Linked DNA regions of Arabidopsis thaliana. The protein of the gene in region 1 interacts with the protein of each later gene in a pairwise test. Each region holds a gene or a part of one and is shown on either strand. Other genes may lie near its edges.

What was found. Proteins that work in one complex are often made in the same cells at the same time.
Region 2: the proteins of RVE2 (region 1) and BBX30 interact in a two-hybrid assay, tested with the Arabidopsis thaliana proteins (one large-scale study listed by BioGRID).
Region 3: the proteins of RVE2 (region 1) and NAC066 interact in a two-hybrid assay, tested with the Arabidopsis thaliana proteins (one large-scale study listed by BioGRID).

What each region holds. Positions count from the first base shown.
Region 1 is NC_003076.8:14,750,296-14,756,471, forward strand, and holds RVE2 (Homeodomain-like superfamily protein), read right to left. Parts: upstream 2,794-6,176; 5' UTR 2,678-2,793; coding exon 2,666-2,677; intron 2,206-2,665; coding exon 2,143-2,205; intron 2,054-2,142; coding exon 1,942-2,053; intron 1,811-1,941; coding exon 1,749-1,810; intron 1,664-1,748; coding exon 1,049-1,663; downstream 1-1,048. Other genes in the region: AT5G37250 (RING/U-box superfamily protein), read left to right, coding at 50-676. UniProt on the Arabidopsis thaliana protein: Positive regulator for cold-responsive gene expression and cold tolerance. Part of a regulatory feedback loop that controls a subset of the circadian outputs and modulates the central oscillator. Negatively self-regulates its own expression.
Region 2 is NC_003075.7:8,706,189-8,711,204, reverse strand, and holds BBX30 (B-box type zinc finger family protein), read right to left. Parts: upstream 2,365-5,016; 5' UTR 2,325-2,364; coding exon 1,971-2,324; 3' UTR 1,723-1,970; downstream 1-1,722. Other genes in the region: BBX9 (B-box type zinc finger protein with CCT domain-containing protein), read left to right, coding at 99-587, 674-1,056, 1,143-1,263; AT4G15245 (uncharacterized protein), read right to left, coding at 4,157-4,437, 4,499-4,691. UniProt on the Arabidopsis thaliana protein: Developmental regulator acting by forming heterodimeric complexes, that sequester CO and CO-like (COL) proteins into non-functional complexes. Engages CO and the transcriptional repressor TPL in a tripartite complex.
Region 3 is NC_003074.8:22,927,284-22,932,722, reverse strand, and holds NAC066 (NAC domain protein 66), read left to right. Parts: upstream 1-2,266; 5' UTR 2,267-2,315; coding exon 2,316-2,487; intron 2,488-2,697; coding exon 2,698-3,530; 3' UTR 3,531-3,717; downstream 3,718-5,439. Other genes in the region: AT3G61920 (UvrABC system protein C), read left to right, coding at 1-85. UniProt on the Arabidopsis thaliana protein: Transcription activator of genes involved in biosynthesis of secondary walls. Together with NST1, required for the secondary cell wall thickening of the anther endocethium, which is necessary for anther dehiscence.

The DNA.
Region 1 (6,176 bases):
ATATCAAAAGTTAGGCTTTGAATCTTCTTTTTCTTCTTCTTCTTCCACCATGAATACATATAGTAATTTGGTGTCCGTAAAGATTACTACAACAGCAATGATCCTACCACAAGATCAAGGGTTTAGAAACACCGTGTTCGTCAATCTACAAGATGTGGTCAACGAGTTAGCTGAAGATCAAAACGGTGTCGTAATGTGTTTGGGAACGTTCGCGGCTCCACTTATGACTAAAATCGAATTGAAACCATCATGTCTCAGTTCACATCACATCTATCAAGACCTTGACGAGTTCATCACACATACTGAGTTTTGTCGATTGTTGAGCGAAAGGATCGTTTTGGATTGTGCTCATATTCCCCAACCTTTTAGTGTGTCCTTATACGTGGAAGTGACAAGAGATGTTATGTTCTCGTCTATTGCTGTTAGGTCGACAGATACGTTTCAAAGATTGCTTGAGGAACAAACAATGGAATTGACTGATTTGGGAGATGAAGAAGAAACCACTTGTTCGATTTGTTTGGAGGACTTTTCGGAGAGTCATGATGATAACATCATTCTGTTACCTGACTGTTTCCATTTGTTCCATCAAAATTGTATCTTTGAGTGGCTTAAGCGTCAGAGGTCGTGTCCTTTGTGTCGACGAGTACCGTACGAGGAAGATCTTGAAACAGAGTGAAACCGTCACAGAGACTTGAAGCTAGTCTTAGGGTTTATGATGCATTACTTGTTTCTATGTTTCAAACATTTGCTTTTGATGTATTTTTTGTAAACCTAATCTTTTTTGTTAATCCTTTCGAATGAAATGCTTGATAGAGACTACTATTATGTACAACAATTTAGAGTTATCAAGAAGATTTGATTGATCAAATAAAAATGTTTAAGTACAAGGATCTCAATTTCTAACTGGTTATATGGAAAGACACGAAACTTTGGAGTGATCTTACGAATCTAATCCAAAAAAACTTTCCCTAATACTCTGACATTATACACATAATCTGATGTTGAGATCAAAAGAGTTTACACAACTGACTTGACACAAACGAACACTTCACCACAAAGGATATGATAATTTTACATTGTCAATGTTTTCTTCCACCTTTACTCTCTTTTTGTAAGGCATGAACCCTCTCATGTTGTTCATCTCAGTCACCGACGATTTTAACTGAGAGAAAGCTGATCTCTCACTTCTTTTGAACTCCGACACTACCACTTCTGTTTCAGCGTTTTCTGAAGTAGAAGAAGAACATTGAAGAGACTGTGTTTCTGAGTATAGCTTCTTCTTGCCATCTTCAGAATCATCACAACTCATTGAAGAGTTGTAATCACCAACTACAAAAGTTTTTCCAAAGAGCTTAAGGCTCTGTTTGGTCTCTGCTTCTAGAGACAATGATTCCTCTGTGTGAGATGATAACTCAGCTGAAGAAGAGTTAGGTGAATTTGAACCAATGGAACCTAATCCATCTGAGCCATGAGCTGATAAAACCGATGTTGGAGATCGGTTATCTTCATCCTGAATCAGCTTGGATCCGGTTAGTTCAGCGTATACCATCTCTTTTGCATCAGGAATCACAAGCTTTCTAGGGTAAGGATGCATCGGCTTTCTCTTTGGCCTTGGAGGCGGGATCTCAATGGACTCAGAGCTAACACCAAAATCGCGAGCAACCTAATAAGAAAAACTTGAATTAGACCTTGCTTAACACGAAGAGGTTGAAACTTTTTCATGTATAAGGGTCTGCAAGAAGGCAAACCTTAGTAAAGAACTTCTGCGCATGGCTTCGAATCTGAACTGCAGTTTTTGTTCCAACATGTTCTGTTCCATAGAAGAACCAACAAAAGTCAGATCTCTACTCATTACTAGGGTCCAAGTAGTTTTCTTATATCTTCATCAAACTTAGATTAGAATGTGCATTAGACTCTCTAAAGTCAGATAAGCACACACACCTTCGATTCGTCTCCAAGCTCTGCCATAGAGTTTCAATGCTTCTACAAACTTCTCATGCTCTGCTTCTGTCCATTTCTCTCTTTGTTTAGTGATGGTATAAGGCTTTCTTGTCTATAAACAAAACAAACCCTAAATTAACCTCATATTTAAGTTCAAAACCAATCAAGAGTAAACAAGAGATTAAGAAACAAAATTAGTACCTTGAGGTAAAAGGCATCTGAGGAAGATATAAGTTCATCAGAACATAAACTCTCACAACGTTCCTATAATCACAAAGTAAGAAAACACAATTAGTCTCTTAATATATTGTAAGAGTAATTAAATGTTACAAAGAGTCTAATAAAACTAATTAATACGCAACTAGAAGAGGTAGACCACCAGTAATAATTAGGGGATTAGAGACATGTTCTTACCTAATACGGATCAATACATTAAGAAAGAAGTAATCTCTCTTTAAAACAACCGACCATAATATCCCACATAATCGCCTGGTCTATTAACACAATTTTTAACCTGCCACAATCGAATAATCTTCAGTTCCAAGTTCTCTCAGACAAAGAGATTAAACTTGAAATTAGATAACAAAATAACCTATTTTCTCTCGGACATAAACCTAAGTTTAGGTTAAATCTGTCTGGATTCCACAAGACTTGAAACATAACAACAGTAACAAAACCAAGATCAAGATTGCATAAAGAATAACAAAGAAGATAGATCTCAAACCTGCATAGCCATGGTTGCAGAAGAAGAAGAAGAAGACTTGAAGATTTAAGATCTGAAATCTGAAGCTGAAGAAGAAGAATAAAGAGAGAGAGAATTGTTTTGAGATTGGTGAGAGAGTTGTTGTTTATGAAAGGAGCAGAGTCAAGGGGTTACTTTAAAAGAGCAAGAAGAAGATAAGCCACGTAAGCATAATGTTTTTCTTTTTATAAAAATTTGGGTGAAAAAGCGTAAAGAGGGGTTTCGAGAAACTAGTATCATGTGGCTCAGGTTAAAAGATGCTAATGACACGTGGAGGATTTCTTCTTCGCTTTCACTTTTGTCTTTGCGGAGAAGATATTATCTGTTCTTTGTTAAATCTTGTCGGAGATTTTTAATTGTTTAATTTATCTACTAGAAAGTTTTTTTAAAGAAGCTCATTTCATGATTATTGCCAAACTCGCGACTGGTGAGCGCGTGTCTTGTTTAACAACGTTGTTTACTTCTTACCCCATTTTGTTGTTTTTTATTAATCAAGTTGATTGCATATTTAATTTTAGGTTTAGGTACAGTATTTAATTGAAGTTGAGAAATACAGTTCCATAAAATAAGATTAAACAATTATATTATTTATTAGTAATATAATCACTATTTTTGTTTTATTAGAATTAACAATTAAATAAGATCTCACTAAATAGATCTAATCATATCATATTGACATGAGAATATATTAAATGAATATATTATTAAATTGTTTTCAACAATTTAGCGATTTGAGTTGACACACTTTATCTATTGATAATTCTAATTCATATAATGTTATAGAACATATTCTTATTCATAACAAATTTCAACAATTAATGCTATTTGTGGAACATTGAAAAATATGTGATATATTTGGAAACAAAATTTGTTTTTGTGCTAAGAATTACCCACTAAAATTTGGATTTTGGAATATTATTTTTTCTTCCTGATCATATAATTAAACAATTTCACTCATTTTATTCGTACTATGTATATTTGCATCATCAAACTGATGAATAGTAAAAACCTGAAAATATATTACATACTAAGATCTCAAAATTTGAATATAAAATACTAAAATGCATCAACTTAGAAGATGATCAATTGAAAATAAGTTTAATATCATATGACATGTTTATCAAAATAAATATATAAGTTAGTTTAGATAAAACATAATATGCAATTTGAATACTAGAGTAACAATAATATGCAATTTGAATGTTTATGACCCAACAAGTATTGAATAAAGACAATGTTGAATCACACCTAGCAAATTGTTTATAATTCAAGACCGTTTTTTCATTTATCTTTTATATTAATTTTGTTTATTCTTTTCTATAAGAATTTGGCCTACTTTGTTTCTACTATATATAACATAATCTTTAATTTCTATAATCTCAACTAGACGGTGTGTCAAAGTTCTAGTACCATTCCACTAGTTAGAGCTCATAGTACCCGAGAATGATGAGTATAGTTGGTGATGATATATGATTTTGAAAAGATTATATGAGAAACAATAGCTAGAGAAAGAGCCCTTGATACCTTTCTGAGTATGTCCATATTCAAATTATTAGAAGTAATAACATATGATTGAGTATGTTGTACAATTACATACAATATATCAAAATTTAAGTACGAAAATACCACACAATTCATCAAAATAGAATAAAATATATGCTTAAATGTAAATAAATTATATCATGCAGCAATCAAATCATTTTCATCTAAACAAATGTGCAACTGGAATTAGTTAAAAAATTAAATTTATATGGTTCCTATAAAATTATAGTAAAATATGTCGCATATCAGAACAAATGCTCTAATTATACAAAATTTATGATATTTTCGATCACTTAAATAATTCTGAATTAAAATATAATCACGCTCTTTATTATATTGATATTTTTGAAAGCATTTTAAAATAACCTTTTATAACATTTTTTTTTGAAAATGTCTCCAAATGTTGTCCATTTTCAATCAAATCACTCTTACAAAATTTTATAAAATTTGAATAAGGAAATAAACAGATTTCGTTTATTTCAAAAAATCGTAAAATACTTGATAATTTGGGTTTCAGATAATCAAACATAAACTTAGATGTAAATATAAGAAGACAAAACTGAATTTTAGCATGAACAAAGTGAAAAAAATTGTGTACCCAGCCACTCTCAAGCAAGAACAAAATGTTCATCTTATTAAATCTATAAAAACAATTTCAAAGTCCAACCAACATACATATCGCCATAAATATTAAGAGACATTTTCATCAAATTAAGTTAATCCAATAAAATTAGTATTTTAATACGCTATTCTTTTGATTTTAGTTAGATTTTTCTTAAACATTTCTAGAAATTTTACCGTAGTTTTTTTTTTTTTTTTTTTTTTCTTCTCAGTATTGTTTTTGCTTAAATACTTTAAATTTAGACTATTTATACCTAAATGAGGGCCAAGAACTTTAGACTATGAACCTAGACTTATCAGGAATAGTTAGGTTTCAAATGACAGATCATATATTTTTGGAGTGCTCTCTTTTGACCCAAGTATGTGGCAAAGAAAGCGAGTAGCTAAATAAAAACATACACGAGCGTTGTTTAAAAAGAAGAAAGAGATATTTAAATTTCAGTAGCCGTCAACTTCAAAACAAAATTAAATAGGTATTTTATGTGAAGGACAAAAATTGTAAAATAAATATCTGGAAGTCTTCAATGAAAAAAAAAACCATTTATCCAAATTAGAAATTGTTTGGTACAACTGTCTCAAAATGAAAGAGGAGAAAAAAAACAACACTTTTGTTTTGCACTTTATTGCCTAGTCAGCACAAAAGTGTTGTCCTCTGAGATGTTCCAAAAGTCAGACACGTGTCGTTGTGTTTAGGTAATAGAGAGAAGGATAGGGATATGGATGGTTTGTTATTCTACGCCACTCGATTATTTTTTTATTACCAAAAATTTGTTGCCCACTCGTTTTTTTTCGGTGTTTTAAGCTATCGAGTTCATGTTTTTTTTTTCTTCAATCGCTACATTTTTTTGTAGATCTTACGAATCTATAATATTCTTAGAAAAATACTTGTACCAGTAAAATACTGGTGTAGTGGCCACTAAGAAGTTCTTGGTTCATGTATTTTTGTTGCTTTTTTTAAAGAAAAATCGAAATATATACTTTTTCATTATTAACCGACGACTATTTGATTACTATAAAGAACAGTCGGTGCAAGTGAGAGTTCTTTCAACAATCTAAACTTATGGACGAACAAATATCTATATGGGAAATTGAGAATTGACCCTAAGTGTATAGTCGTTGAAAGGTTTTTTTTTTCTTCTTCTTTAATATCTAAAAGTCAAATCAAAAATGAAAGTGGAATGATTGAGAATTCATCGTGACAAGATTAAACAATGCTTATTGATGTAAGATTAGTATACGATCTTAATGGGCCCAATCTTGTTAGCGTTTTGGGTTAACAAATTTTGCTACTTGCCGCCTCGGTGTCTCATATTAATGGGCTTTGTAAGGC
Region 2 (5,016 bases), on another chromosome or scaffold:
TTTGTCTCACGATCCTTCTATGCTATAGGATTTTAGGTGTGTGTAGCGATTGGGATTGAGAAATCGTTATTTCTTTGGAGTTTTGTCTTCGAAGAAGTATGGAGGCTCGATGTGACTTTTGTGGAACCGAAAAAGCATTAATCTACTGCAAATCTGATTCGGCTAAACTTTGTTTAAACTGTGACGTTAATGTACACTCAGCGAATCCTCTGTCTCAAAGACACACGCGATCTCTACTCTGCGAGAAATGTTCCTTACAACCCACGGCAGTACACTGTATGAACGAAAATGTTTCTCTTTGCCAAGGATGTCAGTGGACCGCTAGTAACTGCACTGGTTTAGGACACAGACTTCAGAGTCTGAACCCTTACTCTGATTGTCCTTCTCCATCAGATTTCGGCAAGATCTGGTCTTCAACTTTAGAACCTTCTGTCACAAGTTTGGTCTCTCCATTTTCTGATACCCTGCTCCAGGAATTAGACGATTGGAATGGTTCATCAACTTCCGTGGTTACACAAACTCAGAACCTTAAAGACTATTCTTCTTTCTTTCCTATGGAATCTAATCTTCCAAAAGTGATAGAAGAGGTGACGTGTTGTTTAAGTAATATATCAAAATGTTTCATTTATGATAAAGAAGAATGTTTTTCATTTATATTCCGTTCTATATGCAGGAATGTTCTGGTTTGGATCTATGCGAAGGGATAAACTTAGATGATGCGCCGTTGAATTTCAACGCAAGCAATGATATAATCGGATGTTCATCACTTGACAATACCAAATGTTACGAGTACGAGGATTCTTTTAAGGAAGAGAATAACATTGGCCTTCCTTCATTACTGCTTCCTACTTTATCCGGGAACGTTGTACCGAACATGTCACTTTCGATGTCTAACCTCACAGGAGAAAGCAATGCGACTGATTACCAAGATTGCGGAATTTCACCAGGGTTTCTCATAGGAGATTCGCCATGGGAATCGAATGTTGAAGTTAGTTTTAATCCAAAATTAAGGGATGAGGCTAAAAAGAGATACAAACAAAAGAAATCAAAGCGCATGTAAGTTTTTGAGACACATAATCAGAGTCATTATCATGCTTTTAAAACATAATCTCATTGATATTTGTGGTACCAATTTCTTCTAGGTTTGGGAAGCAAATAAGATATGCATCACGCAAAGCCAGAGCTGATACGAGAAAACGGGTCAAAGGGAGATTTGTAAAATCTGGAGAAACTTTTGAGTATGATCCGTCACTGGTGATGTGAACTAGTGAATCTTCACTGCGGAACTAAAGAATAATCTGACTCCATCCACGGGATTAACAGTTTCTTGTCGGAGAAGTAACAAAAAAAAAACATAAAATTCTCTTCTTGAGAAAGTATACAAGATCAAACTACAAAGACTTAAAATCATCGCAAAGGTGATTCCAAAATGGAGATTAAAAAAAAAAAAAACTGAAAGTTGCTCTTTTTACTAGAGAATTTCCACTGTTTTTTGATGCAACCACAAAACCTACCGGTCATACAGGCATTAATTAGGCATACAGCTACGAGACGATCAGACAAAATCAGAAACCAAAAAACAAAACAAGAGTCGTTGACTCTTTCCTACTTATAGCTCCTTAATCTCAATTACATGTTAATCATAGAAAAATATATCTTCTTTGTGTTTTGGACCACTCTCCACCTTCCATTTCACTTGATTGTAATTTGTAACGTTGTATTGTTTTCCTAGTTAAGAAAAATAAAGCCAAAGAATAAAGGCAGATTATGTTTGCCATAGGAAGATTTGTTCTTGATTTCTTATAGCTTACTATTGGGACCGCATTATTTTACTATTAAATCAATATGTTTTCTAGGTGTTCATATATTACTTTTAAGCTTTAGAATGAAAATATACATTCTTAGAACATTTCCAGAGAAAAAACCCTACCAATATTTAATCTTAATTACGCGAAAAACAAAACATAAAATCAGAGAAACACAAAGGGAATTTTGTGATCACTACTATGTTCTTCAATCCTTGCTATCATCCTTATCTCCGGTAAAACAACATTAAAATTATCACCGACAAGACATCGACGAGTTAGCTTCCGACAGGTCGTGCAGATCACGCGCCGGAGATGTCTCCGAGCTAGAAAATTAGCAGAATGGACCCATCGATCGCATTTCCTACAAAGGAAAGCTGCGTCTGCCTCACAATACACGGTGGCGTTCTCGCCGCAAAGCTCACAGCTTACCGGAGCTTTGTGACTCTCCGTGCATAGTCTTTGGCATCCTCCATTGTCGCTTCTTCTCTCTTCTTCTTTCTCAAACCCTCTACACATCTTTACTCTTTCTTTGTCTCTCTTGTGTTCAAGATTTAGGTTTATATAGGAATGATTGTTATTTAAAGCAAATGGATATTATGAAATTGTCATTAAACTGGTTGTACACGTGGAAAAATATTGACCTATTGGTTTGATGTGAGTGTCCCTAGAGGACCAAATTGTCAATAATTTAGTTATTTTCCCTCCACCAGACGATCTCTCGTCCTCATGTTTGATACACAAGTTTCGAGTAGTTGACTAGTATGACTCGCTCATTGTCACATATCACAATCACGTTCTAGAATGAATCATGAATCATAGCATTTTTGTGGTCTATAAAAAGGGAGTATATAATAATAGTATATGAATTTATTAGTGATTATTCATTAAACTACTGTGCAAGTTTTTGGTTTGTTTTAAAAAGATAATATATGAACGAGAAATTGTGTAACATACTATCATTTGTTTTCAATCATGTTTTCACTTAGATTATAATATTTCTTTTTTTTTTAAAACTATTTCTGTTCGTTTTTATAAATTTATGAGCAGTCATAACATCTACCAAAGAAATGTACCTTTTTCTTAATCTGAATTGATACAAGAGTCAAGAAAATCTACGAGTGTGGAATGAAGCGTTGAAGAAGATGAAGAAAGAGAGATACATTCAATTTAATGTAATTTAGGTGACTCATGATGGCCATGGGTGCAGTGCAGCCAATTACTCTAAATTTTACTATTAACTAGTTACTCGTTTAGTCTAGAAAAATTCATCGCCGAAGAAGTGGTTAGAGAATCAATGTCCCACTGATTACAATTATTAAAGATTATGTGACTATGTGAGCATTCAGAAATATATTGAATATCGGGTCGGGACAGTCTCTACGTTATTGGGTGTCTTCGTGTCATTGTGTGTGTGGTGGTTAACTATTTTAACTTTATATTTTATTACGAGTTTGCTCGCAAAAGGAAAAAAAAAGGAACTTCACTTGCATGGTTCATGATTAAAGTAATTTCTTTTAACGATTAAAATAATTAATTTCTTATTTTCTAGGAGACGTACATCCTCCGAAACTGTCAAAGTTGAATATCCCCTAATGGTTGCAGCGGTTAATGCCGTCAAATCTCTTTGTAGACTGAGCTGAATTTTTATTTACTATTTATAAATTGTGTATTGTAAGCAGAGATTTTTTTCTTAAAAAGTTTGTTGTGAACTAGCTACGAACCGCTTTAACATACAAATAGAGTTGGTCTGCGACGCGACAGTTTATTGTCTGCAGTAAAAATAGAACATACTAAACCGTTGATGAATATGTCCATCTCGACTATTATCACCATTTAAACTCGAAATGGTAACGTATACATAACAAATTTATGATATACTGATAAAATTATCGTTGATAATTAGTTGGTAAACACTTAGTTAATTCATCGTTAATTTAATGACGTTTAAATGATATATTTAATGATGATTCGACCAAATTTATCATCAGAATGACCAAAAAATTTCACGAATAAAAACTTTATGCGTTTCACAGTTTATGTTTTAGGTTTTGAATGAATGCAATGAAAAAAGTGAACTAAACCGCTAACGAAACATATCACTTTATTTTTGAAGCAGACAACAAACAACCACAGACCAAGTTTTTTTATATGTAAAAGCAGTACATAGTTAGTCCGATGCAGACTTGTTCTATTTTCTCAATCCATACTACTACGGATTATAGCTTATGAATGGTAAACAAAAAACGGTTTAAATCGTAAAAGGATTTGTCCGTCCTAACCACCGCAACTATTCGAAACTTCTCACTCTTTGAATTCTAATTTTAACTAATTAACCCTTAACTGTTAAATTACATTCGAGAAATATTCTTTATAGGTTCTATACTTCCAATATAGTTAGCTAATATCATCAAAAGAAGAAGTCGACGTGCGTGGCATCCACTCGCGGACGACTTTTCCTTCAACCCTTTACCTTTCGCAAAACCTAGATCTACGCCGCCTTTGTTTCTCCGGTCATCGGTGCTCTTCGCCGTGACCGGGAGAGGCCCCCCAGTGGCTCCACTCAGTGGTTTGGCTTCCTTCTCGTCGGCGATTTGACGAGTTAGCGTTTCGGATCTAGAGATTCTGCGATCTGTGCGCTTTACTCCCGCTTAGTTTTGGAAGTCGTTTGTGTCCCTGTCTCCTCGCATTACTCCGGTTTGTTTGGAGGCTCTGTTTGTGTGTTGCTGTTTTAGGTGTAGCTTGTAGTGCTGAGGTCTCAGCTCCGGCGATTCTGATCCTCTCTTTTAGTTTGCACCGGGGAAGTTGGTCTCTTTTTGGTGCTTTGTGTTGTGGCTGGTTGTTAGAGCTGGCTTCTCTAGCTGCTTGCAAGCTTCCTCTTTCCATTTCCCAAGCCAAAGGTGGTTACTTTGTTTGTGGACTGGTTTTAGTCCGAGACTAGTTTTGCCTCTGTAGGTTCTGGTGAGTTTCGTCTAGGATGGATTTGAGGGCTACGCTTGACCATGGGTTTGTGGACGGCCCGTCGCTGCCTATACCATCTCCGTGCATTTCCATGGCATGTCTCTCTTGAGTCCTCTTTGTTGCGTTCAAGTTTATCTGTCTCCTCTTGTCACTTATGTTATTACCTAAGCTCAACCACATCAGATTTGTGTCTATGTGTAATCTTGCGAAGATTTTGTTGAAGTCTCTGTTTTGCTCTTTGCGATTGGTG
Region 3 (5,439 bases), on another chromosome or scaffold:
TTACGGCTGCGGCGGAGGAGTTCATTCGAGAGCGAATTCAGACCAGCTAAGCGTTACGAGTAGCTTTAAAGGGAAATTGTGGTAAAATTTCGAATTATGAATAAACTACGTTTATGTTTTAATCTGTTTCACGATTTAAGCATTTAAATTAGTATGTTGATTTCCGTATTCATTGAAGACTTGGAACGATTATATAAGTTTATCAACGTAGATATATTTGAAATATCATTGTTATCTCTCATGAAACAATTAATTTATGAAGTCGTAGACTCGTAGTTAGAGATTATTTAATCTTCCCTATTCAATGCCAAAAGTCTAGAAGAGCAAAACAAAAGGGAGAAACTCTTTTATTTCAGGCCCAATGACACAAAGCTGGCCAGAAACAGTTTAAGATTAGGCTAAAGTTATAAGTCCGACAAGCACGAGTGCTAATATATATAGTTATATGACGTCTCACCATTAAGGGTTTAATAAATTTTGAAACACCTCAAATTAAGATTGCTTCCCATGCAAACTTCCTTCATCTTCTAGAAAAATTACGATTTGTAATACTTCAATTATATCATTTTAGTTTTTTGTCACTAATTATCATCAATTTATCATAGCTCCGTGCCGCAACAACGTTCGTTTTAATCAGATTATATATTACTCTGCTATAAACTCAGAACCATGTTAGAAAAATGAAAAAGACATTTCAGAATATTCATTAACTCAAAATTTTAATCTCATGATTTAATTTTTTATTAACAATGTTATCCTATAGCACATGGCAAATTTGAACGGCCCTTGCGTATTAATCTATTATAATCTCAAAACCATGTGTAAGAAAAAGGAAATTCAGAAAATAACCTTTTGTAAATAGGCCCCCACAAAATCTACAACATACGTAGATACCTCCTCGCTTACAGTTGTAAACAACTGTTCATCTAGATTCATGCCGTCATTCAAGTTTAAATTAATACAATAATTTAAAATTTTAATTTGGATGAATCGAATCCACCGTCGTTTCCTGAATACCAGATAGGTTAACTTTATGATTAGTTCGAGTGAACCACATGCACAATATTCGAATCTTAGACATTCGTTGCAATGTTAACTTCACATATATTTGATAAACGCTTCTTGAATCAGATCTTAATCTCTTTCTTTCTCTCCATCTTCTAAGGAGGTTGTGGATTATCATGTAGTATATCATTATCTTCGCATCACCTTCAACAAGAACAAGCTACGAGCTTTAAAGTCGTATTTAACACAATAATGTATAAAGTCTTTCTTCATCACATCACATACATTTTTTGTTGCCATCACCCTTCATTCACTTTTTTTGTTAACACTATTCGTTTCTATATAAAATAAAAATAAAATGAGGAATGTCTTGTCCATAGAGATTTTTAAGGTCGAGGGTCATCGGAGCGATGTGGGCTTGCTTCCTACATTATAGTTGATATGTGGATCCCGCGTGGACCATATTTTTACCCAATAGCTACGTGCATGGTCCCACCGCTCTCTCTCACGCACTATTCCGAAATTGCCATAAACAATTTCACCGGACAAAAAGAGCAAATAATTTCGATGTTTAATAAAGAGACCATTAGTATATTTGACCCAAAAAAAAATAAAAAAAAAAGAGAGACATTACTATAACTTTTATTAGATGAAATATTGCAACATTGTATTTATAACGGATCTAATTTACTGAATCATATTTTTTTTCTTTGTTAAAGAGATACTGAATCATGCAGAAAAATAGATAGATTTTTAAATACTAGGTGAACTCATGACGAATCAACCATTACGAGAGATTTCTGGATAAAAGCAAAAACAAAACAAAACTAACATGCTAATCTAGGCAATTAGTAGAGCGAAAAGTCGGCAAAACCAAAGGCCGAAGAAGCTTGATCGATATACTTTTTTTTTTTTGTTTTGGCTGGATATACTTGGTATGAACTAAGAATTAAGTAAAAACTCATAGGGAGTAATTTTTCGAGAAGTGCATTCACTATGAGTATAAAACAGACATTTTCAAATTATTAAAACAAGCTCTTAGAGGCTCATATGTTTAATTGTAAGTGGCGGCTCATGCGAACTTATAATGAAAACATCAAATATTCGGAAAAATAATACTCCACTGTTAAAAAGAAAACTTAACAAAGGAATTAAAAATATGAGAGCAAAAGAACACATGCATTTTCTCATGCATGTACTATTATTTATTTTTTTGCAGAGTTGATGTAAAAAATATACACATATATATAGACATACTTTGGTTAGTTATAAACTCGTTCTATTTTCTTCTCCTTTTTCTATCTTTAGCAATGAACATATCAGTAAACGGACAGTCACAAGTACCTCCTGGCTTTAGGTTTCACCCAACCGAGGAAGAGCTCTTGAAGTATTACCTCCGCAAGAAAATCTCTAACATCAAGATCGATCTCGATGTTATTCCTGACATTGATCTCAACAAGCTCGAGCCTTGGGATATTCAAGGTTCATCATTTATCTTTTATTCTTGATGAAACGTATTAATAGGGCTTGTATATATTAATTAAATTAGTTTTTTAATGCATGTGTTGAGTCAAGAACTAAAGCTCTGAATTCAGGAAATTTTGCAGAGTAATATATACTTTTTGTGATAATAAAATTTGCAGTAACAAAATTCAGTCAAAACTTAACACAACTCTTGTTTTTTCTATGTAGAGATGTGTAAGATTGGAACGACGCCGCAAAACGATTGGTACTTTTATAGCCATAAGGACAAGAAGTATCCCACCGGGACTAGAACCAACAGAGCCACCACGGTCGGATTTTGGAAAGCGACGGGACGTGACAAGACCATATATACCAATGGTGATAGAATCGGGATGCGAAAGACGCTTGTCTTCTACAAAGGTCGAGCCCCTCATGGTCAGAAATCCGATTGGATCATGCACGAATATAGACTCGACGAGAGTGTATTAATCTCCTCGTGTGGCGATCATGACGTCAACGTAGAAACGTGTGATGTCATAGGAAGTGACGAAGGATGGGTGGTGTGTCGTGTTTTCAAGAAAAATAACCTTTGCAAAAACATGATTAGTAGTAGCCCGGCGAGTTCGGTGAAAACGCCGTCGTTCAATGAGGAGACTATCGAGCAACTTCTCGAAGTTATGGGGCAATCTTGTAAAGGAGAGATAGTTTTAGACCCTTTCTTAAAACTCCCTAACCTCGAATGCCATAACAACACCACCATCACGAGTTATCAGTGGTTAATCGACGACCAAGTCAACAACTGCCACGTCAGCAAAGTTATGGATCCCAGCTTCATCACTAGCTGGGCCGCTTTGGATCGGCTCGTTGCCTCACAGTTAAATGGGCCCAACTCGTATTCAATACCAGCCGTTAATGAGACTTCACAATCACCGTATCATGGACTGAACCGGTCCGGTTGTAATACCGGTTTAACACCAGATTACTATATACCGGAGATTGATTTATGGAACGAGGCAGATTTCGCGAGAACGACATGCCACTTGTTGAACGGTAGTGGATAACGGAAATGGAAGAGAGGAAGTGACTAAGTGAGTGACATACCAAAACATTGTGTAGAAAGATATAATAATCATCATACCATATATATAGTTGTTGAAACTTTTACGGTATAAATGGTCAGATTGTGATAATTACAGTACGTAGTTATGTGATATCATTACAGAAAATAAAAGTTCTCTATATCTGTGTACATTTTATATCATGATTAACTTTATAGAAAAGAATTGGTTGCATAGTTGAATTTCTTTGGATCAAGAATATTAGTTTTTGTCTTTTTGAAACTTAATTGCCATTCGATGAACAAAAAGGCAATTACATTTTCTACTGTAAGAAATCATAGTCTGTCACATGCATCGCCGGGTGTTTTCTAATTACAATTATATGAAAAAAGGATTTTGACCAAAAGTTGATTATGATTTCAAGAGAGACAAAAGACCAAAATGATAATTAATTCGTCGACAAATTAACTTTAGGAACAGATGATTTCCATTACGTTAATTATTCAAAGTTTCTCATTTTACTCTCAATTAAACTGAAGTTTTATTTACTAGAAACTTGAGATATTTAGTTGGTAAATGCTTAGTTTGATGTTGAATAGTTTGCTTCATTCATCATTAGGAATAGATTAATTACCCAATTAATCACCCCAACAAACTTGGATTAAGATGCACCAAGTGCTTAATAATAGTAGCTAATTAACCTACCCATCAAAGCTAATCACACTCATTATTTTTCAATTATAGCATTTAATCAAACAGTATTCGTTCTTATTGTTGAATAATCTCTTTCAAGGTGCGGAATCTTACTTTTGAAGAAAAATGGAGGATTCAAATATTCTCATCTTTCTTTTTATCATGTGATAATATTAGTAACAGACTCCATAACTGTAACGTTTTGACCTTTCATTTTCCACTTTAGCTTTCTGAAATTAGATTCGATTTATTATAATGATGTATTGATATTGATCATGTTGTAAATACTAAACGCAACAATTACATGAAACTTGAATTCGAGGCATTAATTTTTCTCTTTTCTCTTTGACCTTAGCTGATGCAAAATGGAGGATTTCTCAAATATCCTCACTGTTATTTATTTTTTATTTTTTGGGTTAAACCTTAATAAAAAATATTGGAAATATCAAAAATGTGTGGGCTGTTACATGTGAGTTCTGCTTGGTATTAATTGTACCACAAGTATATTGGGCCAGGCCCATTTTATTAATAGGTCAATAACGACATCAAATGGACTGTGAGTGTAGGTCCACTCGATGTCTTAATTCGTGAATTTTAAATTTGTGAGACCTTGTTTTTTTCTCTTTGTTATTCCCTTATTAGGAATTGACAAATATAATATACGGTATAGGATTTTAAAGTACTAATTAATGTTCGGTTGTGGTACGGCTTGAATATGTAAATATACTTTGATTTTCGTATAATTTTCTCGCATCATCACGTCCTCTTCTCTCACGTAAACTGTTTGATGAAGTAAACAACACAATGGAAATTCCGACTTCACAAAAAGCCGTATGATTTAACACACGAAACATATAGTATATATTGCTAATTTTGTGCCCTTTATGGATTAGTTTCAAGTAATCTTTCACTGACTACTAATGTAAAAAAGAATTAAAAAAATAAACACAGGAATAAGAAAGGGCATATTATTTATAAAAAAGGTATGCTAATTATTGTTATAAGCATTATTTAACAAATTAATAAAGGCTTTCCACTAATAGCGACACACTCGACCGACAAATGAATCCAGGCCACTTATTACATGTGATTGATGACTGATGATCGTTTGGCTTGAGTGGATTCGTATTCGTACTCCTTTGCTTACGGGAATTTGGGGGAATCTCCAGAGTTCAAACAACTAATGAATGTGTATATCGTTTACTTTTTAACTTTTCTA